Drosophila melanogaster: one gene and its partners. The protein of the gene in region 3 interacts with the protein of the main gene of each other region in a pairwise test. Each region holds a gene or a part of one and is shown on either strand. Other genes may lie near its edges. The genes, in order: CG14456, Exo70 and CG3907.

Region 1 (8,340 bases), on a different chromosome or scaffold from region 3:
AGTGCAACGGGATGATGGGATCGGAGGACAATCGCTTGTGCGGAATGGAAGTGCCAGGATAAGGATTCACTGGCGATTTCAGAGCATATGCCAACATTTGAGGATAATAATTGGGGGCGTAAAGCACATTCTGTTTAATAATTTTAAGCTTTTGATGATAATTTTTTAGGAGTTCTATTTATCAATTTAAGCATCAATGAAAATGTATTTTTAATGACAAGTTGGTTCTCTATTCCGTTGATCAATAAGCCCCACTGTGCAGCCGAGTTGGTCGTTTATTGGTAGTTATTGAGTTGTCCGCATTAATTTTGCATATGCACGTAAGTGGAAAATAGAACGCCGACTATTTTGGAGCCCGTTTAACTAGACCCACCGCTTTAATGCTAATCTCGTATAAATAAACAACATTTCGGCCCAATCGATGGCCAGGCCATTAGACCAATTGCTGGTCATTGTCATTTGGATCGCAACGGATTTGAATGAACAGGGCGAAGGGGCGAACCCCCCGCTAGCTCCATCACCATTCCGCCGAGTGTTTGGCTTATTTGCGAAAATTTGTTGACACTCAGACCTCCCCAATCGCAAACGGAACAAGCAATCAAGGAGCGGCAGCAGCTTAGCAGACTTCCGCCAAGGATAACAGGAGACGCCAAAGGATGCCGGCGGCAGTCGCATCGCTTTACAAGATTTTATTTACACCTTCTGCGAAAATGTTTACACTTCAACAGGCAGCGGCAATAAGAAGAGGAAGCCGACTGCCCTGCCACACCCACCGCTCCCCGGCGAAATGCTGAAATGAGCAATATGTAAACCTCCAGGACGCCAACGGCAGATCCCCAAACAATTGAAAGTGGAAATCCACCTGGCAAAAAATTACTCAAACAGAAAGCTAAAAAAAAACTCATAAAAACAGGGAGAATACTAACGGCCCTTGAATAATTCCAGGGTGTAAGAGCGATGCGAACTAGGACACGGAAGAGGAGCCATAAGGAACGTTGTCATGGCGTAAATTTATGTAAAAATTTGTAGCAATTGCAATAAGTTCGTCCACGCCAACCCCATCCCCATTCCTCATCACCATTGCTGGCGGCTCTTAGGAGCATAAAATTTGCGTGCAAGACCAAATAAATTCTTTCGATTTCAGGCAGTTTTTATGCGCATTTCAAGTGTGGACCGAGGAGTCGTGGTGCCTCAAGGGACTCGCCGCGGGGACTCGCAGCTGAGTTTGTAAGCCCAGAGATATCACTTTATTTTAAATGCATTAAGAACTTTGGCAAAAACTGATTACGAAATTCGCTCAGCCTTTGTTTGCCGAGCCCTTCATGATGTCTGAACCAGAGCCAGAGATGCCAGGACTGTGGAAATTAACTCTCAGCTGGCAAATGCCTCGGAGTGCAAATATTGAGCAACGCCAAAGGTTTTTGACTGGCACTACCCCAAGGATTCGCAAAGAAGCGGAGGATTGTATATGATTCACTTGGGACACTGTTGCCCACTGTAGTCGCCTGTTATTTTTGGCAATCTGTTTGTTTGTCGATTGTCTGTCAGTTATGCTACTTATGCCTCATCCTTTATTCTATTCCCAGCAAAAGTCCCTCGGCTCGGCCTGATTTAATAAGAATCCTTTTCGCCCCGTTCCTCAGAATTAACATAATTTTATGAGTGGATTTTCATAGTTGAACAATCTTCAGCCCGCGGCATTTGCGAAAACTTTAAATTTCAATTCACTTAAGCTCTTGTGGGGGGGAGAAACTTTCGCCAGGCCATTGAACTCAGGACGGTCCCAATTTTCGCCATAGGTCTCTGAATATACAAATATACAATTCAAAGACCCTGAGAGACTTCAAATATAGTTTAACACCATTTCCCCTTTCTTTTTGCCGACAGTGATTACCGCCCGAGGGCGTCATTAGCATTCCATTCGAGTGCGGTGCAAAAGTTGTGATTTCGATTGCAGATCCACCGACCAGCGAATCCGAACAGACAGGGCTAACCCACAGAACTGAGACCGGATTCACTCAATTTCGTGGTTAAGGTCTTGGGTATTGACCATATTACGATGTATGAGGCGTCGCTGCACGAAAGAGTTATGATCTAATCGAGATAGGAGACCCGCTGTAAATCAGCAGGCTATCAGCAGGTCATCGATCCCACCTAATCATAACTGGGTTCTGTCTTTCATAATAGCCAAGAATCGATAATTGCGCCAGCGAAGTATTCGCCACTCACGTGCAAATCATCAATATTCCCTCCTTCTTGCGATCGATTTGCATATCCAACCCACTTTTCCAGTCCCCAATTCGCGTTCCTTTCTGGTACAATATATGCGCCGGTTATTCCAGAAGAACTCTATTTAAATGCAATTTGGAAACGGATTTCAAACGCCAATGGCAATAGAATCGGCTTTTATTTTGGAACCTGATTGGAATTTGAGATTTGGGACTACTAAAGCTCCACCCAGCGCGCTCTTTAAGCCCCAGTCCCCGAGAACCCAAGTCAATATGCGACAATGTGACAATAATAATTGATAACCTTAAAGCCGAAAAAGCACGAACTCGCTTCCAATTCATTTGGTGAACAAGCGTCGAAGGTGAAGCGAACCAAATAAATTCAATAAAAGTCACTCAAATGTCGATAATTGAAATGCGTACACAAGACCAGCCACAGCAAATGCAGAAAATAAGCACCTCAACTGAGCAGGACAGCAAAAAATTAACATTTTTATATAACAAATTTAATTTGGACAATTTGACCGAATCGAAAATTGCATAAATTTCATTTGCAGTCATCCGTTGGCGGAAGGTCGCCAGGTGGGAAGTGGGGTAAGAGGTGGAAATGGAATGGAAAGTGGGAAATGGAAGATTTCGACGGCAAACGGTGCTTGCCAACTCGATTCGCTTTTATGGACCCTAAAGCGAGGCGAACGGCCCAATGAAGATCCATACCAACCTGCGAGTTGTTGGACTTAGTGCCGAAAGTATCCATTATTCAAAGTAACGCTCTGACGTGTACTGGTCGCGCAATTAAGTTCGCGCCCCGAAATTATGTACTGAACGGGAAGCTCAAAGGAGCCGCTCTCTTCTAAGTTATTGCACTTTCCTACTGAAGATTTATAGCTCGATGCGAGCTCGCTTAGATATATGGTGTGGGTAGAAATTTTTGCTTATTTCCCTCTCATCGAGTGACTCACGGGACTCAACGCGACTTTAGCTGCTGTCAACGACTCTCGTCGCGAGCGATGTGCAGTGCATCCTTAATTACAGATTCGGCGCGAAGGGATGGGATGGGATGCGGGATGCCAGGAGATGCCCCTTCTAGGACTGTGCTTCGCGAAAAATGTTAAACATTCGCAAGTTTTTATTATCGCGCTCAAACTTGTGGGAAAGTTCCTTCCCCTGCAGTCGTACGCCTTCTTACGTGGCCTGTTTGGGTAATTCGAGATAGTTAAACAAGGGCCAACAATGCGGCTGTGCCGCATTCAGGGGAAAATACCTAAATGAGGAACAGAACACTTGATTCAGACTGACTTTCAACTCAAAATTTAGTTTTACCTAACGTTAAAACGGTATCACAGCAATTGAGGAAATCCACTTTACAAACGTAAGCCATAAATAAGATTCAATTATATTAAATGCATTAGCAAGTTAAATTAAAATTAATAGTATATGTGTAAAGATTTATGTAATTATCACGTTTCCATTTTAAGTGAATATTCATGATTTTAATATTATCCCAATTTTATTAGACCAGTCTAGTCTAGTGCTGGAAGATAAAGACCCGTATTTCTTTCTCTGTGTGAATGTGAATACCTTATCTACGACTATCGCCCCTACTGGTATCAGCCCAATCATCTCGTCGGAATATGCATTTGCATGGAGCTTCTCTGCGCTCCACACACACCCTAAATCATTGTCGTCTGTTGCTCATCAGCAGCCCCTCCGACGCCATTATCGTCGTCATCAATTGCGCTGCTGGTGGCTGCCTGCAGACAGCTTGTCACCGTCGGGTAAACATGCGAATTTCGCAGTCGAGCAGGCAAACACGTGACAAGCGGCTAAGGAGGATTGCTGGGGCGGTTAGATGGGAGGACAAGACGAGGCGACAATGACGACGTCAATGGTGCGACAAAAGGCAGTTTGAATACTAAAACGAGGCAGTGTTGGACGCGCATCAAAACTTTATTGGATCTCCTGCGGGCAGGAGATACCATGAGGAACATGCGAGGTATATGTATCTTAGCCGAGACTGAACCGCTTCAGGTTGTCGAAGCCTTTGGACTTGTCGATGCGGCCGAAGATGGTCGACCGTACGATCATGCCGCCCTTGTCCGTCGAAATTTTCATGCCGAAGCGGAACTTAGCCTCCGGCAGGAAGCTGGGCAGCATCTCCTCGTCCACATTGTAGTTGGTTAGGCTGTAGGTGCCGCTCCGGATTGGGCACTCCTTGAAGAGGGTGCCGTGCTTGAGAAGGTCCTCGTAGATCGCGCGCACCAGCGGATCCGAGTTGCGCTGCTTCATCAGCTTGCAGAAGTTGAGCGTACGGTTTATCAGGGTAGAGTAGTTGCCCTTGTCCGTCTCCAAACCAAAGTCTACCACCAGCTGAACGTCCTCTATGTCCTGGTGCGTCTTTATATCGATGCTCAGATTTGACTCGCCCGAATCGTTTTGCAGATCGACCTTAAGGTCCAGGAACTTGTCGTTGGCCTCAAAGTCAATGCTCGTGAGGATGACCTTGAAAGAGCGCTGGCGAAGGCAATAAATCAGAACTGTGCCCATGTCCCGCACCAGCCCGATCCACCCCAACTTACCCACGCTCCAGTCAAGGGCATGAGAGCCACCAAAATGAAGGCCACGGCACAGCAGCTTCGGATGACCTCCTTACGCATCTTGCTCCAACTATCCATTGAGGCTGGCTCTTATTCAATTAGTCAGTTTTTATATGTATGCAATTAGAATTAGTCAGGCCCCACTGGGCGACAAAGCGCTCCGAACATTAGGCCCAGCCACGTTGTCGTGGTGAATTAAGTCAACTAAGTGGGTGGACTTTGGAAAAGCATTCAGCTGTTTCGAAACGTAGTCAATTTCCGATAAGATCGAACTGAAAATCGCTCAGCCCATTTGCATATAAATAGTGCCGTCGCCGGACAAAACCAGACAGTGAAGACAGCTTACTGCAGTCGTTCCATAATGTTGCTGTATACCGCGGTCCTGGTTCCCGTCCTGATGGCCATGTGCCATGGCTCCCTGGCCGAGGTGAGAGTTCGCAGAGTAGCGCCTTGCCACTGAACTAATCCCTCAGCTGGCTTCTATTCCAGAAAATGATGAGACCCAAGTTCAAGGACATCAAGTTCTGGAGCGACGAGAAGTTCGTCAGCCACAAGGTGGTCTACGACAACAGCGACCCGCATCTGAACTTCTCCATGGAGGTGCACCAGGAGCTGCACGACGTAGACATCCACGTCGAGGTGCGCATCACCAACAAGCAGGACCCGTACTACAACACTAATCTAAACACCACGCTGAATGTCTGCCGCATCCTGGGCTTCGCCAACAAGTCACCGGTGGGGCGCTTCGTGCACGGATTCATCCGCGAGTTCGGCAACATCGTCGAAACCTGCCCAATCGCCAAGGTGAGTGGAGCACTCTTGTCAGGGTTCCAGCTGACCCTCCCCCACTCTCGGTCACGTTCTAGGGCCGATACCATTGGCACCGCATTCATTTAAAACGCAAATTACAGGGCTCCTACTTCATCAACAAGTTCTGGTGGCCAGAGGACCCAACCACCGCCATGCTGCCCGAGCTGGAGTTCGAGATCATCTGGCAGGCCATGCACGTGGACGCCAGCAAGAAGCGCACGCTGATAATGAACGACCATTTCGGTGGGGACTTCGTCGTCCAGGACGTCAATAATCTGAAGCCCGGCATCTTCGCAATGCTGCCCAAAATCGCCTAGAAGCCCCGCTAGGCTCGGCCCTGCCCCGGAATGAGCTACCCATCTGAGTCGCGTGTCCCAATGGTATTTACTTAATGTTTGTCAGTGTCACTTCGTGTTATCCAGATAGCAAGCAAATAAAGCTGCCGCAGAAAGAGCAAACCAATGATTTTGTTTAAAGGGTCGCATGATTTTTTAATTACCGAATTGTTAAATTCGGGAAGAAAGAGCGATAACTACATAACTTGAAATTAAAAAGTTTCCAACGTCTATAGTTTTCATGTCGTATCCAAATTGCAACATTCCCTTTTTATCTACTTCGTTTTAAAAGAATACTGTTGATAACTATTAAACGACTTTAAAGTTATACTAAGAATATTTATTATCTTGCACTATATTACATTGTAATTATTTAATTGAAAGAAGACATTTTTGTTTATAACTTCTTTTCAATACTGAAAGAAGCGTTTAAAGTGCTTATGAAGCTCATAGAATTTGCCCATTGTCAGTTTCCTGCAAAACCATCATCAATGACAATAAATTTTTTTATATTATTCACGTGCTGCTCTCGAATTTCGACACTCGGCGGGATTCGTGTTTTTGAACCATTCCCAAATTGAATTAAAATGGTACGGATTCGAGAGAAACAGGAGGCCCACAACATCAAATTATTATTCAATATAGTCGCAACGAAATGTTTGTGACTTGTGCCCTGCCCATTGTGATCCGACAATGACAGTTTGCGAATTTTAAACCGCTTTTAGCTATTTTTTGCCCAAATGAAGGTGCCACTTGGTATGATTTATGCGAGTTTGAGTTTGCCGAGCTTTGGATTTGGTTATTTGGTCATTTGTTGATTGGCATATTGATGCAGTGTGGCTGTTATCGAGGAAGCCATAAAACGACAGTAACAATGAGGAATGCAAAAAAGTTCTCGGCGCCTCTGCCTCGTTAACCGACTCGATGATTCCCCTCAATAAAATGTTCAATTTCAATTACCGGGTATAATAGGCCCGGAATGATAATACAAATCTCTGGACAAATCTGCCCCAAACAACTTTTATCAATTACCAGACCAGAAGCCACCAAAAAGAGGTGTAAAAGGTAAATGTCTTTGTGCTAAGCTCCCTACCCTGGACCATCCTCGACCTAATCCGCACAATGCATTTGTTTTCACTTTGTTGAACTCGTGAAACTTTATTCCTGCCAAGAAAAAGTTCAGGGGTCAAGCCAGCGGCCATTTAAGCTCCATTAGACAGCCACACAAAGCGACATAACGCCCCAGAGCCCAAGGGGGACCCCGGTGTAAGGAAATTCATTGTCGAAGTCGCCCAGCTGTGCCTCCATCCTCCGCTACGAGGACCCTAAAGGGTTCGTCCTTATCTGATTACAGTCCAGTAAATCTTGAAAAATTGTCATTCAATGCTAACGTTTTGAAAACATTCATCAATGGTTCGGCTGCTACTCAGCCCAAACAATGCGAATTTCTCTAACGCGACTTTGAGGTTGCTGCACTGTTAAACAATCATTTTTTCAGCTGTGTGGCATGGAGCCCTAAAAGCCGATTTCACAAATTTTTTTCTCAGTGAACGACAGAGCCGCACATATGCCAGCGTGGCCAACAGACCAGCCGAGAAGCACTTCAGCCAGCCAGTCAAATCTTCCCATTTGGCTAATAAATCCTTGAGCGGCTTATGGAGCAACGTCTGCGCATAAATATTATGGCTGGCAACTGGTCAAGAGGGGGGACGATGTCGAAGTTCGAGGAATGGCACCAAGGATCCGCCTGCACTCACTTCTCACTCGAATACGTCTCGCCTGCGCCCCACATCCCACCATTTCAAAGTAACTTCCCTATGACAATTGAGCTGGGCATTCCGGACTCGCCTCGAACGTGTTAAAGAATACCCTGTCGAGGCGGGAATATCCGTTCACAGAGTATCACGACCACTTGTCTTTGTCTTTGCCAACGAAAATACCGCAAAGGCACATTAAGTACCAATTAATAGGACTCCAATAAATTAAAGAACAGTTATCGTTGATAATTGAAATAAAATACAAGTGTGTAGAGCCATATGAAAGTAATGCTTGTTACTTAGTAGAGGTGTCTATCTTATCTTTTAAGGGGGTCTGATAATATAGCGAGCAGTGTATTGAAACCTCGCCTTGTTTTTACAAGTACTCCCTGTGATCCCAACCGGAATTCTTGAGCTGGCATTGGATTTCGGTTGACTGTCGTGTTGGTATGCCTGCTGTGGATTTCTCGGCCCTCTGCTATGGTTGTTGCTGATTTCTTAAGTATACTCGCTGCCCTAAAAGGATATGCAAATTGTTTGAATAGTAAAGGACATGCTAAACAATTTCAGAGCCTCGAGTCTCTAGTTGAACAAACAAAAAAGGAAACTAAGC
Region 2 (11,618 bases), on a different chromosome or scaffold from region 3:
TCGGCGGGTGGCGGCATGGACACAGTGGGTCACAACTGCGCAAAATGCCCTATGATCGTGCGGCTAATCTGACATTTGTATGCCCACAGTTGACTCTTCCGCATGCCACCGCTAAAGAGCTGTGGAAAATGCGAAGGGAAAGTTTCATTTGGCGGTCTCGAAACAGAGTTACCCTGGGAAAATTCGATGGACAACCGGTCATTACGTGCGGGGAAGTAGTAATTATTACTAAGCTTTGTTTAATAAGTTCATATAACAGAGGAGGAGGAACTACTGTCTTGCTTTAAATGTTTAGAATTAAGTTTCTAGATAGAAACCAATTAAATTCTAAAATCATTTCCATCCACAGGCGCTGTGACAGACTCACCCATCAAGATTATCCGGCTGCCGGCGCAGGCGCCAGTTATCCGCTATCGCAGTGCAGATGCGGCGCCCAACTCATTGCTGATCAACTATCGTCAGGATGCGCGACCGGAGCTGTCGTCCACATTGATGCAGGCACCCGGAGCGGCGGCAGCTGCCTTGGAGTCGCTGCTGCGCGAGGAGACGGAGCAACAGCAGCTGTCACAGATGGGCAGACGGAATAGGGCTAGTAACACCGGCACCGGCAACTGTCCTCGATCCTGTCCACCGAGCATCACCGTGGGAGCTGAGCCCGTGTGCGGCAGCGATGGTCTGATCTATGCGAATATCTGCGAGCTGCGCAAGAAGACTTGCTCCCGCAGTGGAGTGTCGCTGATCAAGGACGTGCGGGATGGCTGCGAGAGGTCGAAGGGTTCGGACTGCAAGCACCGCTGCAGCACGGAGAAGGATCCAGTGTGTGGTACAGACGGAAGGACCTATCTGAATCGCTGCATGCTGAGGGTGCAATCGTGTCGCGTGGGATTGGCTGCAGTGAAGCTATCGCATGTGGGTCCCTGCAGCAACACGAGTGCCGTGCGTGAGTCCTGTCCGGTTGACTGCAACAGTGCGCCGAAGGATGGACCAGTTTGCTCATCGGATGGCAATGTATACAACTCCACGTGCGAGATGAAGCTGAAGACGTGTGGACAGGGTGTGGTGAAAACCAGCCGGAAGCACTGTCAGTCCACACGAATGTGCAGGGAATCCTGCTGGCGTGTGGCGAGGCCCACTTGCGGATCAGATGGCAGACTGTATGCCAGTCCGTGCAAGATGCGCTCTTCCAATTGCGGCAAGCACGTCTTTGAGGTTCCCTTATCCTACTGCATGTCGCAGGAGAGGCACGGAGCCTCCGATGCCTGTCCCACGGAGTGTCCCAAATCGGATACGGATTCCTCGTCGCAGTACGTGTGCGGCAGTGATGGCAACATATACTCTTCGCTGTGTGAACTCAAAATGCTCAATTGCGGGTGAGTTTGGATGAGATAAAAATGGAATATAACCAGACTAAAATTTTATCTTTCAGTCCACAGCGCAAGTCCATTCAAAAAGTGAGCATGGACAAGTGCAAGAATCGACTGACCCGCTGCAAACAGCTGCCTCCTTGCAAGGACTTCAATAGCTTGTTCGGTTCCATCTTCAGCTCGAAGCGAAATGACAAGCTCTGCGGCACGGACGCCAAGACTTATAACAATGAGTGCGAACTGGCCCACGCCACCTGCCTGTGAGTATCCATGATAGGATCATCCATAGGACATGGATCTAGCTCTTCAACTTCTTTTCAGACGCGGCGTGAATCTGGCCCACATTGGTCCCTGCACGGATCTCAATTCGCCCACCAAGGATTGCGGGGATGCCTGTACTCGGGCGGATCTGGAACAGCAGCCAGTGTGCGGCTCGGATGGCAACACCTTCGCCTCCATGTGCGAGTTCAAGCGGCGCACTTGCGATCTGCGTGTGGTGCCCGTTTCGCTAAAGAATTGCGCTTTAACCGCCGACTGCGAATCGGATTGTGATGCCCAGCCGCCAAGTTTCGTCTGCGGATCGGACAACAACTTGTACAAGTCCGAGTGCCACATGCGCAAGGAGAATTGTGGCAAGCATGTTTTCGTGGTGCCACTGAAGCGCTGCCTTGCCGCCTTTCAGCTTAAAGGATGTGCCCGCATCTGTCCCAGGGAATTCGAGCCTGTTTGCGGCAGCGACAATAAAACGTATCTGAACGACTGCTTCCTGGAGATCGAAAACTGCAGGGCGAACCAGACGGTGAACGTCAACTACTACGGCGCCTGTGGCCGCCCCGAAGCACCATCCACTAACTTCCTTTACTAGGACGTATGTATGCGTGGCGTCTTCATTTCACTTGGCATTTAATATTTGTAGGCTATAGTCTTGTATTGTACTTTTTTTAAAACGATATTTATTGAGTTTGAATTAAAGCCCCCCAACGAACTTACAAGGAATGCACTTAAAGCCTGGCCTGCATTTAACATCTAAGCCGAATCATCAAAGAGCTTGCTCAGCATAGCGTTGATCTCGTGCTGTCTGTACTTGACGTATTTGTCGGGATTCTTACTAAAATGCACTCCAGAGTAACTAAAAATGATACAAGATGGTTAGGTATAAGCTGATAAACCCTATATACGCTTACATTTCGTAGAATCTATTGTAGATGGGCAGTATGTGCTCCACATTATCACGTTTGATGCCTTCTCGCAGGATCACATCGGGTATGGAGATGCCCCGCTGGATTTTGCATGCCTCCTCAAAGTCCTTATTGAAGTTCTGGAAATTATAGAGGATGTTTTTTTTTAAATCAAGAAAGTTTAGCTTATTTTAAAAATAAAAACCTACAGAAAATCTCTCTTTGAGCACACTGCGATCCTTATCCTTGACCTTGCCGGCCACTGGTTTGGGCAGTTCATCCAAGGAATAGATGCCGACCAGCATCTTGGACCAGGTCTTTTGATAGCTAGCCTTCAGTTCACGTATCATCTCCATGTAGCTATGTTCGCACTCAGGCTCAGCCAAGGTGACCAAATCAATAAGATTGGAGCGTTGCAGCGACTTGAGGATATAGTGAATGTTATTTAGTCGGAAGAGGTGCTTGGTGGCCTGGTCATTGTACTGCTCGCACTTGTTCATTATGGAAAGATTCAGTTCGGCCAAAGCTTTCTCTGCAAAATATAGATAGTGGTTTAAAAATGTTCGCACAATTGATCTTGTTGCCACTCACTTATGTAAATCGCCAAGAGCGCCTTATTGCGTTCCTCGACTGGCAGCGCCTTCTTCATCAAAATGGTGTCCAATTGCGTGGAGTACAGGACATCCTGTGCCAAAATGGAACCAATAACATCGAAATGATCGTACAAGTGCTCAATAAACCAGATCGTATTGGAGGTCAGCTCGTGCACGGTGGCATCCTTTGGAACATTGCTTTGGCCCACAATATTGGTGCTCGATTCGCCCTTGACTACGTCCAGGAAATGCTCCAATGCCTTGGCACCGGTGTGCTGCAACTTTTTTAGTACTTTTTTCAACTGTTCCCTTTGCGCAGGATCGTATGTGCGGTCAATATCCGGCTGCAGCAGTATAACCCGCTTTAGGGCGGAGAATATTCCCAACGCCGAGGTCCACTCCTTGCGGGAAATGCAGCGCAGGATGCGTTGCGTAATGGCCTCAGCGTCCTTAACCACCAGATCGATGGCATTATAGGCCAAGGTGGCGAATACCTCGTTGTGTTTCGACTGGGGAATAATGTCGATCATGATGGCTCGCTCCCAGTTAAGTAACCGCTGCAGTCCCAGCAACATGACCAGATACTTGTCCAGTTCCTGATCGCCATCCATCAAATCCTCGGAGGTCAGGTGGTCGCTGTGCGATGATGCCTTCTTAATGGAGAACCCTGTGGACTGCTCAATCGTCTGCGTCGCGCGTAAATATAACTTGTTCGCCTTCTTTTCGAATCTATGCAGAATAAATTAAATATATCATATACGAAAACTTGGAAATTAAGTAATATTTCTCACATTTGCTGAAGACGAGCGGAGGTTGTCTTTTTTGGCTCCGTTTGGCGTCCACTGTGTCGCGGTCTCTGCAAGAAAACATTTTAAAAACATTAATTTGAATTGTTAATTGCCATTGCATTAATGTTTCTTCGGAATAATTAAGGTACTAAAATGGTAGCAAATTAAAAACTCTTATTTTTGTAACCTTTTAATATGCATTTGATTCTTATGAGTTTATTAATTTTAAAAATGTGTGTTTTACAAAAGCGTTTATACCCCAATTTTTTTTTTTTTTTTTGACAAAAAGTATTATGCAATTTGCTAGCTTACGAAATAAATTTAAATTTGTAAATGAGCTTCGGAGCAACATTTTAGGAATTACATAGATTCTTAAAGTGTACTAGAGTTTATTATTTAAGGCTAAAAACGACGAGCTTTAAGACACCAGGTCTTTTACAATAATTCTAGAATACCTACTTAATTATCCACATATATTAAAATCACAAAGTTTCTCTTCACATAAAACATTTTAAAATCTTAGTGTATGATAAAAGATGGACATGCCAGCGATTCACTTAAAGAGTGTGGAGCACATCCATGATACGGTTGCAATCCTCATCGGTATTTAGGCCGATTTTAACAAGATCAGCACGCTCCAAGGATGCCAGTTCCACCAGATCGATGTGAGCCTCTTCGAAATTGGTCACATAGTTCTCCAGGCCCATGTGCATGAGAATCTGTTCCACATTGGCGGCATGGTTAACCACGTACGAGTGGTTCGATGCTTTGATGGAACGACGACGCGACTCCAAGGCCAGTGAGGTCTCCATATTCGAGTCATCCGAACAGGTATCCGGGCTGCTGCAGCTCTTTATTTCTCGCTCCGGCTCGATGATCTCCTCCTGCGGCTTGGGCAGCACGAATGGCGGGGGCTTAAGCTGAGTGCGATGGCAGTGCTGATGCTGCTGCTGCTGCTGCTGCTTGGGATGCACCTTCGTTGGCACTTTCTTGAAGGTAGCGAACCGCATGGGCGACACTGGACTCTTCCCCTTCGTGCCCATATTCTCGATGGGCGAGAGATTGGGCGAACGGAAGTTGCCAAAGATCGGAGTAGAGCATCGCACGTTGGAGGTGTTCACCTTCAGGGTGTTCCATCTGCGCTCCTTTAGCGTTGGCGTGCGATTAAGCGTAATTTTGGTCTTGTTCGTGGGCGTGCGAGAATTCTCCATTTTTTTTAGATACTGTGACACAGAAAATGATGCGTTCTTTGCGAATTCAAGCTGGCAAATGGCGGTCATCGAATTGGACATGTAATGCTTACATGCACAAGCTTTTTCGAACAGACACCGTTAACCGAAACGATCAGAGATGGGAAAAGCATACATATGCTCATCATCGTACACATCGCTATTCATATTCTACTACGTACTATTTTTCTCCACATAATATATATGTATTAATACTAGTTAGAATATGAAAGAACTGTTTACTCACCAGAGCCTCGTGACCCCAACTGTTGCTCTTTTGGTGATCCTTGAGCAGCTGCAGCGATCGGAGAACCACTTCGCCCCGTTCCGTCGCGTAGATGTTTGTGTACTCCCTTAAATTTTGCTCCAACCAGTGCGATATGGTGTACAGCTCCTCGCGCGTCGTTTGCGAAAGCTGCCGGAATGAGGTGTATTCATCGCTGGAATCGTCCTCTATGTAGATAAGATCCAGCAACTCCACCGGCTTCAGCGGAGCACTGTGCTTCTTGAGGAGCATACTATAGTGCTGACTCAGGCCTTCGCAGCCGGTGTTAAACAAACTGGTGACATTCTCCAGCTCCACGCTCTGGGAATTGTTGTGCCGGAAGTAATCGTTGGCATCGCGCAGTTTGGCTAGTGCGTCGAGGAACACCGAGATGTTTCCCTCCACCGGGCCTTGATGAATCAACTGGCAGACCTCTTGGGAGACATCGTAGTGGGACAGGACGCTTTCCAGACAATTGAGAGTAGCTTCCAGATCTAAAAAAAAAAAGAGGCGGTGACACATTAGTTTTTTTTTTTTGAAATCCCATTGAGTTTATTTTCATACTCTGCTGCCGTTTCTGGAGCTGCTCCGTCTCCTGGTAGACGGGCAATATGGTCTGCTCCAGGTTTCCCAGGCGCTTCTCGAAGATTGTTAGAATACTGGACATTTGCGTGGACAGATCATGGTATTTATCCACTCGATCTTTCAGCAGAGCTAAATTGGTGGCTTCCTATGAGGAAAATGGGTAAGTATGGAGGTTTTGAGCATGACAACTAGACATACCTTCTCCAATTTATTGTGCGCCTGCAATGAACTGTCCAAATTGTTCATTTTCAAGCGTATATGTAGCTAAAATCCTTTAAAAACAAACAATAGTTCTGATATAAAAAACAATTCTATTTTATTTTGTTTTGACGAAACTAGGCATTTATGCACACTGGCTTTGGTCATACTGTCAATTACCGCGTTGCCAACTACTTTGCACGAAAAAAAAAATTATAACGGTCATTTCAGATAGTAATAGAAACTTTTTTTAAATATTGTACACTTAGACAATTAGGTAAACGATAATGAGGCTATGTTTTAAATAAATTGTTTTTACTACTAGTACTAGTTTATTAGTCAAGTCCTAGTTTTAAAAGCCAAAACTAACGGAAAAACCCGCCAAACTGCCATCTCCAGCCAAGACGCCAACTTTTGTTGTGGTTGGTTGCCATGGAATCTGTGTGTAAACAACGCACCTGCATTTAGGAATTTCTACCAACTATGCAGGATTAGCCAATTCGACTTCTGCAACAATGAGGGGTGTTCTCAAGTGGCTGGAACGCATAGAGTTTCCCAATAGCAAAGACAATGAGATCAGGTAAAGCTTTCTCATTCGTGGAAAACAACAACCTGTTGCTTGCTATAACGCCATAACGGTATTTGCAAAACCCAATTTTCCAGTGTCCACAATGTGTGCTACGCACCCGATGGCAGCCAATTGGTGGTGGCTGCGGGGGATCGGTTGCTCATCTACGATCCAAACGATGGCTCCTTGCTGAACACCTTGAAGGCGCACAAGGATACGGTCAATTGTGTGGCCTACTCGCGGGATGGCAAGCGGTTCGCCAGCGGAGCCTCCGATAAAATGGTCATCGTGTGGTCACCTCAGCTTGAGGGACTGCTCAAGTATTCGTGAGTTCTCAGCACACTTGCAATAAATTCTAGTTTTTTATATAAATATAAAAATATATTTACATTCATAGGCACGGTGACTCCATACAGTGCATGAGCTTCAATCCTGTTTCGCACCACCTGGCCTCGTGCTCCTTGTCGGATTTTGCCTTTTGGTCGGCTGATCAGAAGGCGGTGCAAAAGTACAAGATATCCGCGCGTGTCAATGGCTGCTCGTGGACCAATGATGGACAGTACCTGATCCTGGGCCTGGCCAATGGCACCATATCCATTAGGAACAAGTTGGGCGAGGAGAAGGGGAGAATCGATCGGCCTGGTGGGCCCAACAGCAACGTCTTCAGTGTCCAATGTTGTCCGGCCAGCGGTCCTGGCAGTGTGGACACCATCGGTGTGGTGGACTGGAGCCAAACGCTATCCTTTCACACTCTGAGCGGCCAGATGATTGGCAAGGAGCGAACCCTGGGCTTTGATCCCTTGTGCCTGCAGTACTTTCCCAATGGGGAGTTCTGCCTGGTGGGCGGCTGCACTGGAGGTCTACACTTCTTCACCAGGGAGGGCATTCGGCTGGGTACGTTGGGCGATACCTTTGACACCTGGATCTGGACAGTTGCCCTACATCCCAATGGTCAATCCTACACCATTGGGTGTCAAGATGGAACCCTGGCCTGCTTCAACATTGCGTCTAGTACCGTGCATGCCCTCTACCGCGAGCGCTATGCCTTCCGGGAAAACATGTGCGACGTGATCATTCAGCACCTGATCTCTGGCCAAAAGGTGCGCATCAAGTGTCGAGATTTAGTTCAGAAAATAGCCATTTATCGGAATCGACTGGCGGTTCAGTTGCCGGAACGTGTGGTTCTCTATGAGCTGAGCTCTGGAGAGGATCAACCCATGCACTATAAAGTGCGCGAGAAGATCCAGCAAAAGTTCGACTGCAGCTTGCTGGTTGTTTGTGGCCGTCACATTGTCCTGTGCCAGGAGAAGCGTCTCCAATGTCTGGATTTCATGGGTGTCCTGCAGCGCGAGTGGATCATGGACTCGTTCATAAGATACATCAAAGTCACCGGTGGCCCCGTGGGAAGAGAAGGACTAATGGTGGGCTTGAAGAACGGCCAAGTGTTCCGAATCTTTCTCAACAACTCACTACCACTGCTCATCACCACTGCGGTGTCAGCGGTTCGCTGCCTGGATATCAATTCGAAGCGCAGCAAGATCGCAGTTGTGGACGATGTGGGTCGCTTGGTTGTGCGGGACGTAATCAACGATACAATTTTGTACCAGGATACGGGTGTAAACAGCGTCACTTGGAACACGCACCTGGATTCGATGCTCTGCTATACCCACACAACAGGCGGATTAAGCGTTCGCGTGGGGAATCTGCCGCCGAGGGCACCACAGAACATGCATGGCGTGGTGGTGGGGCTTTGCGGAGCCACTGCCTTCTGCCTGCGCGGAAATATTATGCACAATACGCCTTTGGCTCTCGGTTCCACCATGTGGCAGTTCATCGAAGCTGGATTGTTTGAGTAAGACATATTCCAATTCTGCTTGGAATCTCCTAATAAAAGATGTTATATTTTATTTCAGCGAAGCCTACCAGGTCGCCTGCCTGGGCGTGACCACCAGCGACTGGGAGGGATTAGCTCAATCCGCTCTGGAGGCACTGCACATAAATATCGCTCGCGATGCCTACGTCAAGGTGAGGAATCTTCCGTGGCTCAAACTCATCGGTGAGCTACGAGATCAGCAACAGCGATCGGCGGTTCCTAAGGAGGTACTTCTCGCAGAGAATTGCGCCTTTGCCGGCAAGTTCAAGGAGGCAGCTCGTCTATTTCTCAAATGCGGCCAGTCCTCAAGAGCACTTGAAATGTACACAGATCTACGTATGTTCGATTTAGCCCAGGAGTATATTAAGGACGGCACCGACCAGGAGAAGAAGGAACTGGTACGCAAGCGAGCGGAATGGGCATATTCGGTTAAGGAGCCACGAGCTGCTGCGGAACTATTGCTTTCAGCTGGCGAAAATCAGAAGGCCATTGATATTGTCGCAGAGCAAGGATGGGCCGATGTGTAAGGAAATCAAGAAAATTGCACACATATCGTTTATAATAAACCTAACTTCTTACAGGCTTTACGATATCGGACGACGACTGAGTCTTACGGAACGCGATTCCCTGGAATCGGTGGCCCAGAACCTAAAGACCCTCAAAGCTCTTCCCCTGGCTGCTGAGATTTTCAAGAAGCTGGGCGATGAAGCCCAGGTGGTGCAACTGCACATCGAGGTACGCGACTGGCCGGAAGCATTTCGTTTGGCGGAATCGCTGCCGGAACTTCTGCCCACGGTGCACTACCAGCATGGGCAATGGCTGGCCGAAACGGATCAGTTTATAGAGGCGCATCAGGGTGAGTTTATAACTTTTGTTATGTTTATTTAATATAAAAGTTTTACTTTTCAGCCTACATAAAGGCAGGACGCACCAAGGAAGCCAATCGTTTGCTTAAGCAACTGAGCAATACGGCCATCGTGGAGGAGCGCTACTTGGATGCGAGCTACTTTTATTGGCTGCTGGCCAAGCAACATTTAGATGTATATCACGCCAAGGAGTAAGTGAAATATTACAATCAGTGCACTTCTTAATTTCTAAAACTTTTGTTTTATAGAGAACAAAATCCTGTTGATCACCACCTTACGGAGTACAAAAATCATTTACGTGTTGCCAAGGTTTATTACGCCTACAGTGTCATATACTCATATATGAAAGAACCATTCACCACACATTCCCCAGTTAGCCTATTTAACGTAAGCCGCTTTATACTAAACGAAGTGGAGCACAAAGGTGTCCCCAAAGGTGTCAGCATGTTGTAAGTTAAGAGCTCAAATCGCAAAAGTAGAACGTGAATCGACAGAAATCCTATCTTCCAGTTCGGTTCTCTTCACTCTGGCCAAGCAAGCTAAGTTTTTGCAGGCCAACAAGTTATGCCTTCTTATTAACAAGAGACTGCAGTCGTTGAAGCCACCAGCTGGAGTCCAAGAGCAGATTGATGTGAGTGATGTGAAAACATTAATCATCCAAATGATATGCTTATGAAGTACCTTTTCAGCTAAATTTTCTAAATAGCAAGGCTTGCAAAAGTGGCTTCAATGATCCGGAGGAGCTTTTGCCACTATGTTACAAGTGCTCCAACTACAGTCAACATTTGAATAGCAATTGCTGTCCCACTTGCCGGCAGGATTATATTTTCTCTTTCGTTTCCTTCGGTATGGAATTTTGTCTATTAGCTTAGATATCTGATAATGATGATGCCTCTTTTTAGAAATTCTACCCCTAGTACAATTTTATCCAGAAGTGGATATCTCTGATGCCGAGGCGGAGCGCTTGCTGCTGGCTCCTGCAAAGCACGCCGAGGATTCGGATCCATTTAACGAGGATGTGGCCAGTGCATTGCCTTTGAGCTTGGATCGCAATGGCCTGCGTGCCATAGATCCCAATCATGTGCTGATTCTTAAACGGAGGGGAAAGAATGTGCGGAATGTGTACTATCGTAATATATTACCCGATCTTCAGGTTACCTATTGTCCTCAATGTCTGCTGGTAAGGTTATACAAACCACATCATTTCATTTCGTATATTAAGTAACCCTTTTTAGCTTTTCTATGCGGAGGACTTTGAGCTGCAAGTGCTGCAAAAAGGTCACTGTCCCTTTTGTCACACATCCTCCGAAAAGCTGATGGAAGACTTTTGAAATCGACATAAGAAGTGTGTGCAAATATATAATTTCCGTCCAAAACTGTACAAATAGGAACTATACGCAAATAAATACGGTGTTACGCCCAGGTTTCCTCCTGATATCGTCGCTGTTTTATCATTAGTTCCACGTAATCGGCATCGCCATCTAGTATCTCGATAAAGGCCTCTTTGACAGACTTTGGCATATTATTGGAGTTGCCAGCCACGTAGATATAGGCATTCAGGTCTTTTATAAGCCTCGCCAGATGAGCACCATTCTTGGCGATTAAATGCTGGACATAGACCTTCTGATCCTGATCCCTCGAGAAGGCAGTATGGGCCTCTACCTGTTTCGCATCGGTCCAGGTGGAGAAGTCATTTCCAAAGTGGAAATCGGCAGCTTTGTTCCGACAGCCAAAGAAAACAACCAAGGGACCAATTGTGGCACCTTTTGATTGAGCATACAATCGGTTTTGGATAATGCTACGGAATGGAGCGATGCCTGTGCCAGGTCCTACCATTATAAGTGGTATACTTAAGTCTTTTGGCCAGACCATGGTTCCTCTTTTGACAACTCCGCTCAACTCAGTACCCGATTTCAAAGTCTTCAGCCAGTTGGAGCATAAGCCCAGACGTGGAGTATGCATTATGGTTTTGTACTCCACAACGGCCACCAGCAAGTCCAAACTTAAGGCGGAAACATCCGAGGCAATGGAAAAACTGCGTGGCTGGATCAGTGGCATCATCTCAAAGAGCTGTTGCAGAGTTAAGCTAGAGGTGGCGTGCCGGAAATCCT
Region 3 (9,687 bases):
GGCTTCAATCAGCCCGAACTGGGTCCCAGTATCCTCTCCTCCTGTGCCAATGACATGAACCCCGAGGTGCCAGTTTCCTGGCTCGCCCGCATGACCAGCAAGTACACGAATCAGAAGGAGCGAATGCTCGTGATGCAGTCGAACGTCTGGCCAGGCGCCTACACGTTCATCTTTGAGAAGACCTGCGAGTCGATATACTTGGGCTGGGGCCACAAGTACTACGCCCGCAATATTCCCTTCAAGCACTTGCCGATGGTGCAGGAGGAGTTCCCCCACAACCCAGAGGACTTCGTCGAGGCCAACGATCCGACTGTCGAGGAGGAGGAAGCTTACAAGGCTTGGCTCCTCCGGAAGCAGCAGAAGGCCGAGTATGTGGCCGAAGACATCGAAGACTACGATGATGACGAGTTCGCCGATCAGTATGACGACGACTGAGTTAAATGAAATTGCTTGTTTTTATGTTCTCATTCAAGTTCTGCAATAAAATGTATTGGCTTTGTGAGCTTTAGTTTGATTTATTACTTGCAAATAAAATACATATCGTGTATCTAAAGTGAATAATGTTGGACTTACACTTACTTCGCCCCCCCCATATGTACATTTACTCTTTCTAAACTTAACTGCTTAACTGAAATCACACGTGCACATCGTCATCCTATAAATTGTCATTAAGTTAAATAGCTCTTCGAACCATATGTACATTGCAGTTTTCGTGTGCAATAAATGTAATTGTAATTTAGTTATCGTTGGCTGTAACTCGGACACATGGAATCCATGAGGTCTTAATGGCTAAATACGGAATCGAACAAATTTGGTAATACAACGCAGCAATGCAGCAGCTTACAGCTTCAAGGATTCCTGAAGCTTCACTGTAGCATTTGCAGACGGCTTTATGACTTCCTGCTTGACGGCAATCGCTTCGGGCTGTAATCGAATGTTGAAACTCTTTAGAAGATAAGCAATCATACCTATATTATAATTTATACCTTGGGGACTACGGATCCGTCTTCGCTGCTGGGTGCTTTAATATTGCCCATGCTCTGAATGCAAAAGTTCTTTAGCTGATCCACGGAAGCGGCCAGCATATTGTTCTTGTTGTTTGCCAGCGTTATCTGAAGTTTATCAAGTTTAGTACATCTCTACCTGTAATCATGTTCGATCGACCTACCTCTTTCTCAATTCTCTCCAAAGATTCATCGAAACTGGTCACTTTCTGTTTATATTCCGGCCAGCTGTTACTTATTGTGGCCACATGGGACGTAATGTTTTCAGATCGATCCAGCAGGTCGTCTATTTTCGTCTGCAATAAATAAAGCAAATTAGAGCTGATAACGCAGCAGAATTTGGAAGAGATTACCTTGTGCAGAGATATTTCCTCGCTGAGGATTTTCGTTGTTTGACTTAGGGTATTATTCACATTCTTCAGATCGTTGGCCAGTAGTTTAAATGAATTAAAAGTGGTTTTGTTCAGCGCAGCAATATCATCCGATAAGTTTGCGGGTAAAGCGTTAGCCTGAATCGTGGGTAGCTGTGAGAGATTGAGCTGCAGGAGCAAGATGTTCATTACTGTGTTGATACTCAGCGTATACTGATAGCGAGACCTACCTTTAAGGCTTCCGTTTCGGCCTGCAGTGTTTTCTGCACCTCGGTGTACTTATTGTAGTGCTCCTTGATGGCCTCTATGTCGGTGGCGACGGCTTCTATCTTGGCCCCGAAATCAGCCACCAACTTCTCGTCCTTGCCGTGGTTTCTTTGCGCTGCCACGGCCGCCTCCAGGTTGCTAAAGTTGTTCCGCAGGCTCTCCATTGATTTTTGCAAATCATTTATTTCCGAAATGACGGCTGTTTGGTTCTTCAGCAGGTAGGACGAAGTCTCGTGCCATCTTTGCAGGGTGTCCGGGAAGTTCTTGCTCATGGCAGACACTGAAAGATTACATAATTAAGGACGCACTGTGCGTAGCAGACTGTGTACACCATACCCTCCTCGATCTTCTGGCGATAGTCGGTGAGTTGCTGGCGCAGATCGAAGTAGAGCCAGTACAAAATTCCCACAATCAGAATGCCCATAATGCCGAATAGAAGCGGGCCGCACATGCGGAAATAGGCTATTTTTCGATGGCTGCGGCGACTGCCAGCGACATTTGTCTGAAAAGAACGCAATATTATTGGGTTGCTAAATATTTCACTCTTTGCATGGTGGGAGGCACATATAAGCATGTACATACATGTATGTGCGTATAAATTCCCAATGAATGTGTATCTTCAGATACTCGTTAGCTGGGAAAGTTCAATTGGGCAGGTTCAGATACATAGATACAAATACAGCTAACCTTGTACTTGATCGAGTATGTGAGTAGCGATGTAAGCAGCAGAGTAGCGTAGAAATACCTTACCCATGCGTAATCCTCAGGGTCGTCGGTCGAGACGGAGAGCAGCTTGTCCTGGGAGTTGGTGCCTCCGGGGACTCTCCGGTTGGCTCTCTTGCCCGAGGACGACTGGGAGGCTATCAGGGCGTCCAGCTCCCGACGCTTCTTCATTTTCTTTCCGGCCCGCAGGGGCACTTCAATGCGATGGTGGCAGTCCATGGGGTCGTCTTCTAGAAACTCTGGTCTCCAGTGGAATTCTTGCAATCGGTCGCAGGGCTGGGCTATTACATTTTCTCAGCGTAGCCCAGTTGCTTTTGTAATGCTGGAGCAACCATAACATGTACTTATACTGATAAAAAAGATACTTCTGCGCATGATTTCAGATTACGGTGATTAAGACTAATCGCTGGTTATCGATAAGCGATGAAAGTTATTTTGGAAATTAAATTGGCTGCCTATGCTAAATATACCTTTTAAATGAGCTGCTTTTGAAGTACATTTAACTTGGATCCTCCGATAATGATCAATTAAATTGACCCAAAAAGTGGGGGCGTTCGATAGGTTTGGTAATTTCCGGATTCGTAATAACGGTCTCACTGCCCCCAAAAGACTTGCATTGATTTTTACGCCGTGCTCGCTTTATCGATCTAGTTTAATTAAGTTCATAGCCGTCAAAAATGTTCTGTGCGCTTCTGCTCGTCTGCTCAGAGTTTCCGTTTAGTGTTTTCTAACGTTGGCCTCCATATGTCCCATAATATGTTCGTTGACGCCGACGTACTGTTGCAATAGGTACTCCTCCGCTGATTTCGAAATGGCCAAGAACAGCTTTAAGACTTTAATCAGCCAGAAACACAAAACGTTTCCGGCGGACCTAAATATGTACGGAATGAAGTGTAAATCGCAGCTGCTGGAGGATCAGGAGAACGTGACCCTGATCATCAATCGGCGGAACTCAATCCGCCAGAAGCCGAAGAGTTGGGCTTGGACCCTGCTGCGTTGCAGGTGGCAAAAGAAGCTAGTTCTCTTATTAATATTTATTTGTGTGTGCGTTCTGATTGTTTTCGCCAACACGCATCTCTTGGTTCGCGGCAACATCCTCTCGGCCTTCCTCTCGAGCCGGCTTAACAAGCATTCGCACGCGGAGAAGCAGGAGGCGAGGTATCCCGACATCCCGGCCACGACCCCGTCAGTTCCCCCGGTGCTGAGGCCCACGCACTATCTGCTCAACTACTCCTCCACCCAGCTGGAGCTGAGCTCGCACTTGAACGGTCTGTCCTCAGACTACAACATATTCGTCATCTACACGCGGGAGAACTACCACTTGAACCTTAAGTTCGACCTGTTCGCCCACAGCTTGCTGAAGCACACCAGTGCCCAGCTGCATCTGCACGTGATCACGGACAGCGAGAGCCAGCCCTCGGTGCTGGAGATCCTGCAGCGACAGATCAGGCGGTTCCGGCGGACGGTCATATACACCATATACGACGTGAAGGTCTGCTCCAGCATCATACAAGACATAGCCGCCAAGTTGTCCCCGTACTTCAGCTCAACCCCGAACTCGTACTACAGCGACTCCCTCTTTTTCCTGTCCCTCGGCCTTCACAGGATCGCCGACAGGAGCCTAAACAGAGCCATTCTGCTAGATTGTGATATAGTCTTCCGATCCGATGTCCGACTGCTGTTCAATGAGTTCGACAACTTTCTGCCGCACCAGCTGTACGGACTGGCACCGGAACTGACCCCCGTCTACCGCCACATCCTCTACCGCTATCGCGTGCGCTATCCGAAGACCAGTTTCGGGAATCCCTACTATCCGATCAACAACGAAGGGGGCAACCAACATAGCCGTGTCCACCACGGCTATCCAGGCCTGAACTCCGGCGTGGTCCTGCTGCTCCTAAACCGCATCCGTAACTCAAAGTCCTACCTGGAGAAGCTGACCCACTCGGAGGTGCACACCCTGGTCGCCAAGTACTCCTTCAAGGGCCACCTCGGCGACCAGGACTTCTTCACCCTGCTGGGATACGAGTACCCGAACTTAATCTACAGACTGGACTGCATTTGGAACCGCCAGCTGTGCACCTGGTGGAAGGATCACGGATACTCACAGATATTCGACGCTTATTTCCGGTGCGAGGGCAATATTAAAATGTACCATGGCAACTGTAATACGCGAATTCCAGAATAAATAAAATTGTTATAGGAATATTAAATTAATTAAATGCAGGGTATTTTTATTTGGTATAACTATTGTAATGGAACGTTATGTAATATACGGTGAATTTAATCTTAGTTTATAGACCATTATAAATGGTGATATATAAAAATGAAATTTAAAGATAAAAGACAGCCCACACCTATCACCATTTAAAATATCAAAACGATGTAAGAATGTTATCGATAGGCGAGAAGCAACAGAGTGGGAATATGCCGCACAGGGTGTTTCGTGTGAATGATTTCGCCTCTTGTTTCTTATCTTTAACCTTCATTTCTGGCTCCGTTTGGCTATGAATTAGGAGCAGTCCCGAATAATCAGTCGAGCATACGTAGTTAACGATGGCGCCGAATGCAGCAGTACCAGTGGAGCGATATGAGCCTGAGAACATCGGGATCAACGCCATTCTCCTGGGGCCGCCGGGTTCCGGCAAAGGAACGCAGGTGGGTCAAAATTACATAATGATGTGTTTTTTGTGACACGGACGCCATGTAGTCTATAAATAAATACAACGTGTTCAAGTGCGCGGTTTTTGTTTGCAAATAATCGGTGAAGCTCGTTAATTCTCTTGGAAGAGAATTAAAACTGGTGAAGTTATATAAGACGATGTGTACATGGAAATGTATATGTATGTATCTACGTGCCAAGTATGTACATATGCGTCAAGCAGTGTCTTTCTCTTGACCCTGAATCAAATCAAAGCCTTGGCGAGATGTGGCGAATTAAGTGGAACACCTTTAGGCAATCGATTGGGTATTATGCAGACCATCTATTAAAAGGCTACCAGAACATTCCTGGCCTCAAGAAATGCATCTTATCTAGCCGATTGGTTACCTTGCTTACCTTCCGATATGGTGCTAAATTGATTAATTGATTAGCTCTAACTGAAACTTATCAATGTTTTTAATTATGCCCATTTCAGGCTCCCCTGCTGAAGGAGAAGTTCTGCGTGTGCCACCTGTCGACCGGCGACATGCTGCGGGCGGAGATTTCATCCGGTTCGAAGCTGGGAGCCGAGTTGAAGAAGGTCATGGATGCCGGCAAACTGGTCTCCGACGACCTGGTCGTGGACATGATCGACTCCAACCTGGACAAGCCCGAGTGCAAGAATGGATTCCTCCTGGACGGATTCCCCAGGACTGTCGTTCAAGCTGAGAAGGTAGCCACACGTGTGAAGCACTTTGGACTTTAGGTTATAATCCGTTCGAAACGCACTTTGCAGCTCGACACATTGCTGGACAAGAGGAAAACCAACTTGGATGCTGTCATCGAGTTTGCCATCGACGACAGTCTGTTGGTGAGGCGCATCACTGGCCGCTTGATCCACCAGGCCAGCGGGCGTTCGTATCACGAAGAGTTTGCCCCTCCAAAGAAGCCAATGACGGACGATGTAAGTATCTCTATAGGACGCTATCCAAGAACTCTAAATGAAAGCAGACCTTGTGTACTTGCAGGTCACTGGAGAGCCCCTAATCCGTCGCAGCGATGACAACGCCGAGGCTCTGAAGAAGCGACTGGAAGCATATCACAAGCAGACAAAGCCGCTGGTCGACTACTACGGCCTGAGGGGTCTGCACTTCAAGGTGGACGCCGCCAAGAAGTCCAGCGACGTCTTCTCCACCATCGACTCTATATTCCAACGCAAGCGTCCTGCCCAGATCCAGTTATGATTTGTTCCTGCGCAATGATCAACTACTGATAACTGCCTCCTGACAATTTATTTCGAGACACACACAACGTTTAAGCCTAAAGTTATAGTTGCATCCGGAAATCCTGAACAAACGAAATTACCTTTGCAGGTCGACTACTTTCCTTGTACAGATTTCTAAAGTGTATGTGTTTGTTACTTTTTACATTTCACTATTTGTAACTACAATACAATTTAATAAAAAAATCGAAGGAAACAAGTACATTTTACGAGACATGACTGCTTTAAACTGGGCTGCGTTCGAATGAGGGATGGACGACGCCAAGTTCAAACTTCCACACAATTGTTTTCCGGAAAGCTTCTGGAATATGATGCGGCTGACTCAGTTTCGAATCGAGGTTTTTAGCGTTTGATGGATAGCTACTAATTGTTCCGAGAACTATTTATTATTGCAATCAACTTTAAAGCGACTATTAAAGGGTCATGTTGCACGGGTCTCAAGTGTAACAAATGAGAAATTGCTAATGGAAATCGCTAATGAGATCGTTAAATCTGGTAAACAAATAACATATCGCCAAGTTAGCCCGTCCATCGTGGCTGCGAATCTCTCGCAGAGCGACTTTCGATCGCCGTTTAGTACTCAGACGTCACCTGCCTAATGTTAATGTCAATTTAAGTGTGTATAACTATCGCACATATATTATATAAATTTATAACGACGATTGACTAATCACTGGGTTGACTTTTCAGCAATAGCGATTTTCGCTTCAAAGTCTAAAGTGTGTGCAATCCCGTATGGATACGAGCCGAGCTCGAACACAGGCTCACAGCGCGCGGTTTGTGTTGTGTATTACACTTGAAGTTCAATCCCAGGTAAAAAGTGGGCCCAGGTATAAAAGCCCACTTCATAGAAACATTTCTCAGTTAGTTCCAGCAGCTGAATTGCTTCACATCTATTCGCTCCGAGTCGCCCCACAAGTCGAGCCCCATTGTAAGACCACCGCACCGTTTATAGTTTTTGGAGCCGATCGGCTCGGCTGGTCGACTGGTGGCTGGTAGTAGTCCACACACTCATGGACGCAGCCAGACGGGCAACCAGTTTCATTGTGTATAAACAGTGACATCTTTTCAGACAGCGAATGTGTTTCAGATACGCATACAAAGTGGCCTGCCTGGCTGTGCATTAATTTGCATACAAATCCCATAAGTCCACAGATACATTTTGCGAATGCAGTCGCGCTCGATGGCTAGTAAAAATATTTTTCCATTGCCCAGTAAAATCCCCTGCGCACAAAACTGGTTGCCCGACCAACAGACCCACTAAGCCACAAAAGTGCTGATTAATCGTACAAACATACTTACCCCAATTCGCCCGCAGAAAACTCCAAGATGAAGATGATACTTGCGCTTGTCGTCCTTGGACTGGTGCTGGTCGCCGCCGAGGATAAGTACACCACCAAGTACGACAACATCGACGTCGACGAGATCCTGAAGTCGGACCGCCTCTTCGGAAACTACTTCAAGTGCCTGGTGGACAACGGAAAGTGCACCCCGGAGGGCCGGGAGCTCAAGAAGTCCCTGCCGGACGCCCTGAAGACGGAGTGCAGCAAGTGCAGCGAGAAGCAGCGCCAGAACACCGACAAGGTCATTCGCTACATCATCGAAAACAAGCCCGAGGAGTGGAAGCAGCTGCAGGCCAAGTACGATCCCGATGAGATCTACATCAAGCGCTACCGCGCCACCGCCGAGGCCTCGGGAATCAAGGTGTAAGGCGGATCCCGGTTCCGGAAACTCTTGGTTATATGCACTGTTAATTAGGTCTACGCTTATATCTGATCATCAAAATTATTTCTACGATCGTGCTCGGAATAAAGAGATTTGTTTTTTTACCATACACCTGCCGAGTATTATATCGTTATCGAAGGGGGATTTGCCAGGCTTCAGAGAGTATATAAATTAACTATGACAAATGTAGCACTTAAGTCTAGCCTCCTGCTACTAGAACGATGATTAATCTAAGCACAATTAAGGTCTTAGAAAAAACATTCACAAGATTACGACTAGACCCTAATAAGCGGCTTATATATGGCGGGCGATTTGCATTAACATTGACAATAAAGGCAGCTACGGTTAGTTGGCAAAAACATCGCGTGCTTGTCTTGGTTCTGAGCTATTACTTATATTATTCTTAAAAGGGGCAATGAATCGAATCCGATGGCCGCAAGTAACTCAGCCGTGAAAACCTTCCTTCAAAGAACAAACAAACAATGTACAGCGAATTATTAATGTCACGGCAATTCACATTGCGAATCAAAAGATATTAAATATTAAATCAGTATTTTAATTACTTATAAATGTACAAAGCTTAGTATAAGGTTGTGGGCAGCGTTTACGTTAATGTTTCACCCTGGGCGACGCACGCCTCCAGATAGTCTATGCGCCGCTCCAGGATCGTTAGTTTTTCGTTCAGCACCGCCAGACGGGAGCGACAGGACATATCTGAAAGGATATGATAGCACACGATGATACAGTTTATAATGCCAACAGTGTACATAAACCCTATTAAGGATATGGGATATTTTAGCAACCCAACTACCTCGCACTCTTTGGCTTATCATTTATCACAGTATTTAGCGTATCTTAAATTATGCATAGAGCAACCGAAAAAGCTTATCCAATTCATTTAGGTGACTAATTCGGATAGAGATAAAGCCGAATTTTCGTTTTGAGCCCTCCGATGATGTTACATACATACATTTCCATATGTATGTAGATACATATATTGCTATACATATATGCCACCACGCACAAACCACTGTTTGTTTCTATAGACTTAAGACTTGAGTAAATAAAGTCATTGTCACTGATGAATATTTGTTAGTAATATTACTTATGCGTTCACCCACACCTACAAAGGAAGTGATAATAAACACGCGCACACACACATGCGTCAGAGGGAAGTGGGTGCTTCGTATGCAGGTTGCTTACCGAAAGAGTTCAGAAAGTCGGTGATTCTCTTTATGCTGGCAGTTATCACTTCGATATACTCCCTGTTCGCCCAGTCCTGGTGGATCTGCTTTTGGATCGCCTCTCTGTGAGCCCCACTCATCTTTATTTATTCCTATTGTTTCTGTTCGTTTTAATTGTGTTTATCTAGAGATGAGAGATGGGTTGGGCCGGAACAATTATTGTCAAAAATTTGGAACTATCGATAGGCATACAATTACCGTGTTCACCGTGATTCATTGAGATCAAATTTTTACTCCAACAAGAAATTTTAATGGTGTTTTACAACACTCCCTAAGCACTACTATTTAAAAATTACGCGGGAAAGTGCGATGAAAGAAATAACTTAATATTTTTGTCTGCCAACTATAGCGTGTAAATATGAATAATAAAATAAAGGTAAATAATAAAAGTATTGGGGTAGACACAGCCGAATATATAAAGAAACTTATC

Evidence for each region.
Region 1: the proteins of CG3907 (region 3) and CG14456 interact in a two-hybrid assay, tested with the Drosophila melanogaster proteins (one large-scale study listed by BioGRID).
Region 2: the proteins of CG3907 (region 3) and Exo70 interact in a two-hybrid assay, tested with the Drosophila melanogaster proteins (one large-scale study listed by BioGRID).

What each region holds. Positions count from the first base shown.
Region 1 is NT_037436.4:22,682,199-22,690,538, forward strand, and holds CG14456 (uncharacterized protein), read left to right. Parts: upstream 1-5,023; 5' UTR 5,024-5,186; coding exon 5,187-5,252; intron 5,253-5,314; coding exon 5,315-5,629; intron 5,630-5,691; coding exon 5,692-5,952; 3' UTR 5,953-6,090; downstream 6,091-8,340. Other genes in the region: CG14455 (uncharacterized protein), read right to left, coding at 4,236-4,742, 4,808-4,885.
Region 2 is NT_037436.4:8,406,591-8,418,208, reverse strand, and holds Exo70 (exocyst 70), read right to left. Parts: upstream 6,359-11,618; 5' UTR 6,249-6,358; coding exon 6,201-6,248; intron 6,163-6,200; exon of another isoform or gene 6,148-6,162; coding exon 5,982-6,147; exon of another isoform or gene 5,912-5,981; coding exon 5,400-5,911; exon of another isoform or gene 5,384-5,399; intron 5,198-5,383; exon of another isoform or gene 5,135-5,197; coding exon of another isoform or gene 4,481-5,134; exon of another isoform or gene 4,106-4,480; intron 3,992-4,105; coding exon 3,927-3,991; intron 3,865-3,926; coding exon 3,134-3,864; intron 3,075-3,133; coding exon 2,752-3,074; intron 2,683-2,751; coding exon 2,549-2,682; intron 2,494-2,548; coding exon 2,391-2,493; 3' UTR 2,299-2,390; downstream 1-2,298. Other genes in the region: CG32354 (uncharacterized protein), read left to right, coding at 350-1,370, 1,427-1,624, 1,686-2,229; mtrm (matrimony), read right to left, coding at 4,481-5,134; Oseg1 (outer segment 1), read left to right, coding at 6,716-6,780, 6,864-7,094, 7,166-8,620, 8,682-9,164, 9,223-9,497, 9,551-9,698, 9,756-9,956, 10,018-10,138 and 3 more; CG13667 (uncharacterized protein), read right to left, coding at 10,921-11,618. UniProt on the Drosophila melanogaster protein: Required for exocytosis. Thought to function in intracellular vesicle targeting and docking before SNARE complex formation.
Region 3 is NT_033778.4:24,019,398-24,029,084, forward strand, and holds CG3907 (uncharacterized protein), read right to left. Parts: upstream 2,902-9,687; 5' UTR 2,836-2,901; intron 2,743-2,835; exon of another isoform or gene 2,715-2,742; 5' UTR 2,585-2,714; coding exon 2,393-2,584; intron 2,145-2,392; coding exon 1,979-2,144; intron 1,923-1,978; coding exon 1,606-1,922; intron 1,544-1,605; coding exon 1,358-1,543; intron 1,301-1,357; coding exon 1,169-1,300; intron 1,113-1,168; coding exon 987-1,112; intron 925-986; coding exon 841-924; 3' UTR 501-840; downstream 1-500. Other genes in the region: Rsph4a (radial spoke head protein 4a), read left to right, coding at 1-435; Xxylt (xyloside xylosyltransferase), read left to right, coding at 3,177-4,553; Ak2 (adenylate kinase 2), read left to right, coding at 4,922-5,023, 5,503-5,739, 5,803-5,970, 6,035-6,250; EbpIII (ejaculatory bulb protein III), read left to right, coding at 7,618-7,998; HSPC300 (haematopoietic stem/progenitor cell protein 300), read right to left, coding at 8,618-8,727, 9,217-9,337.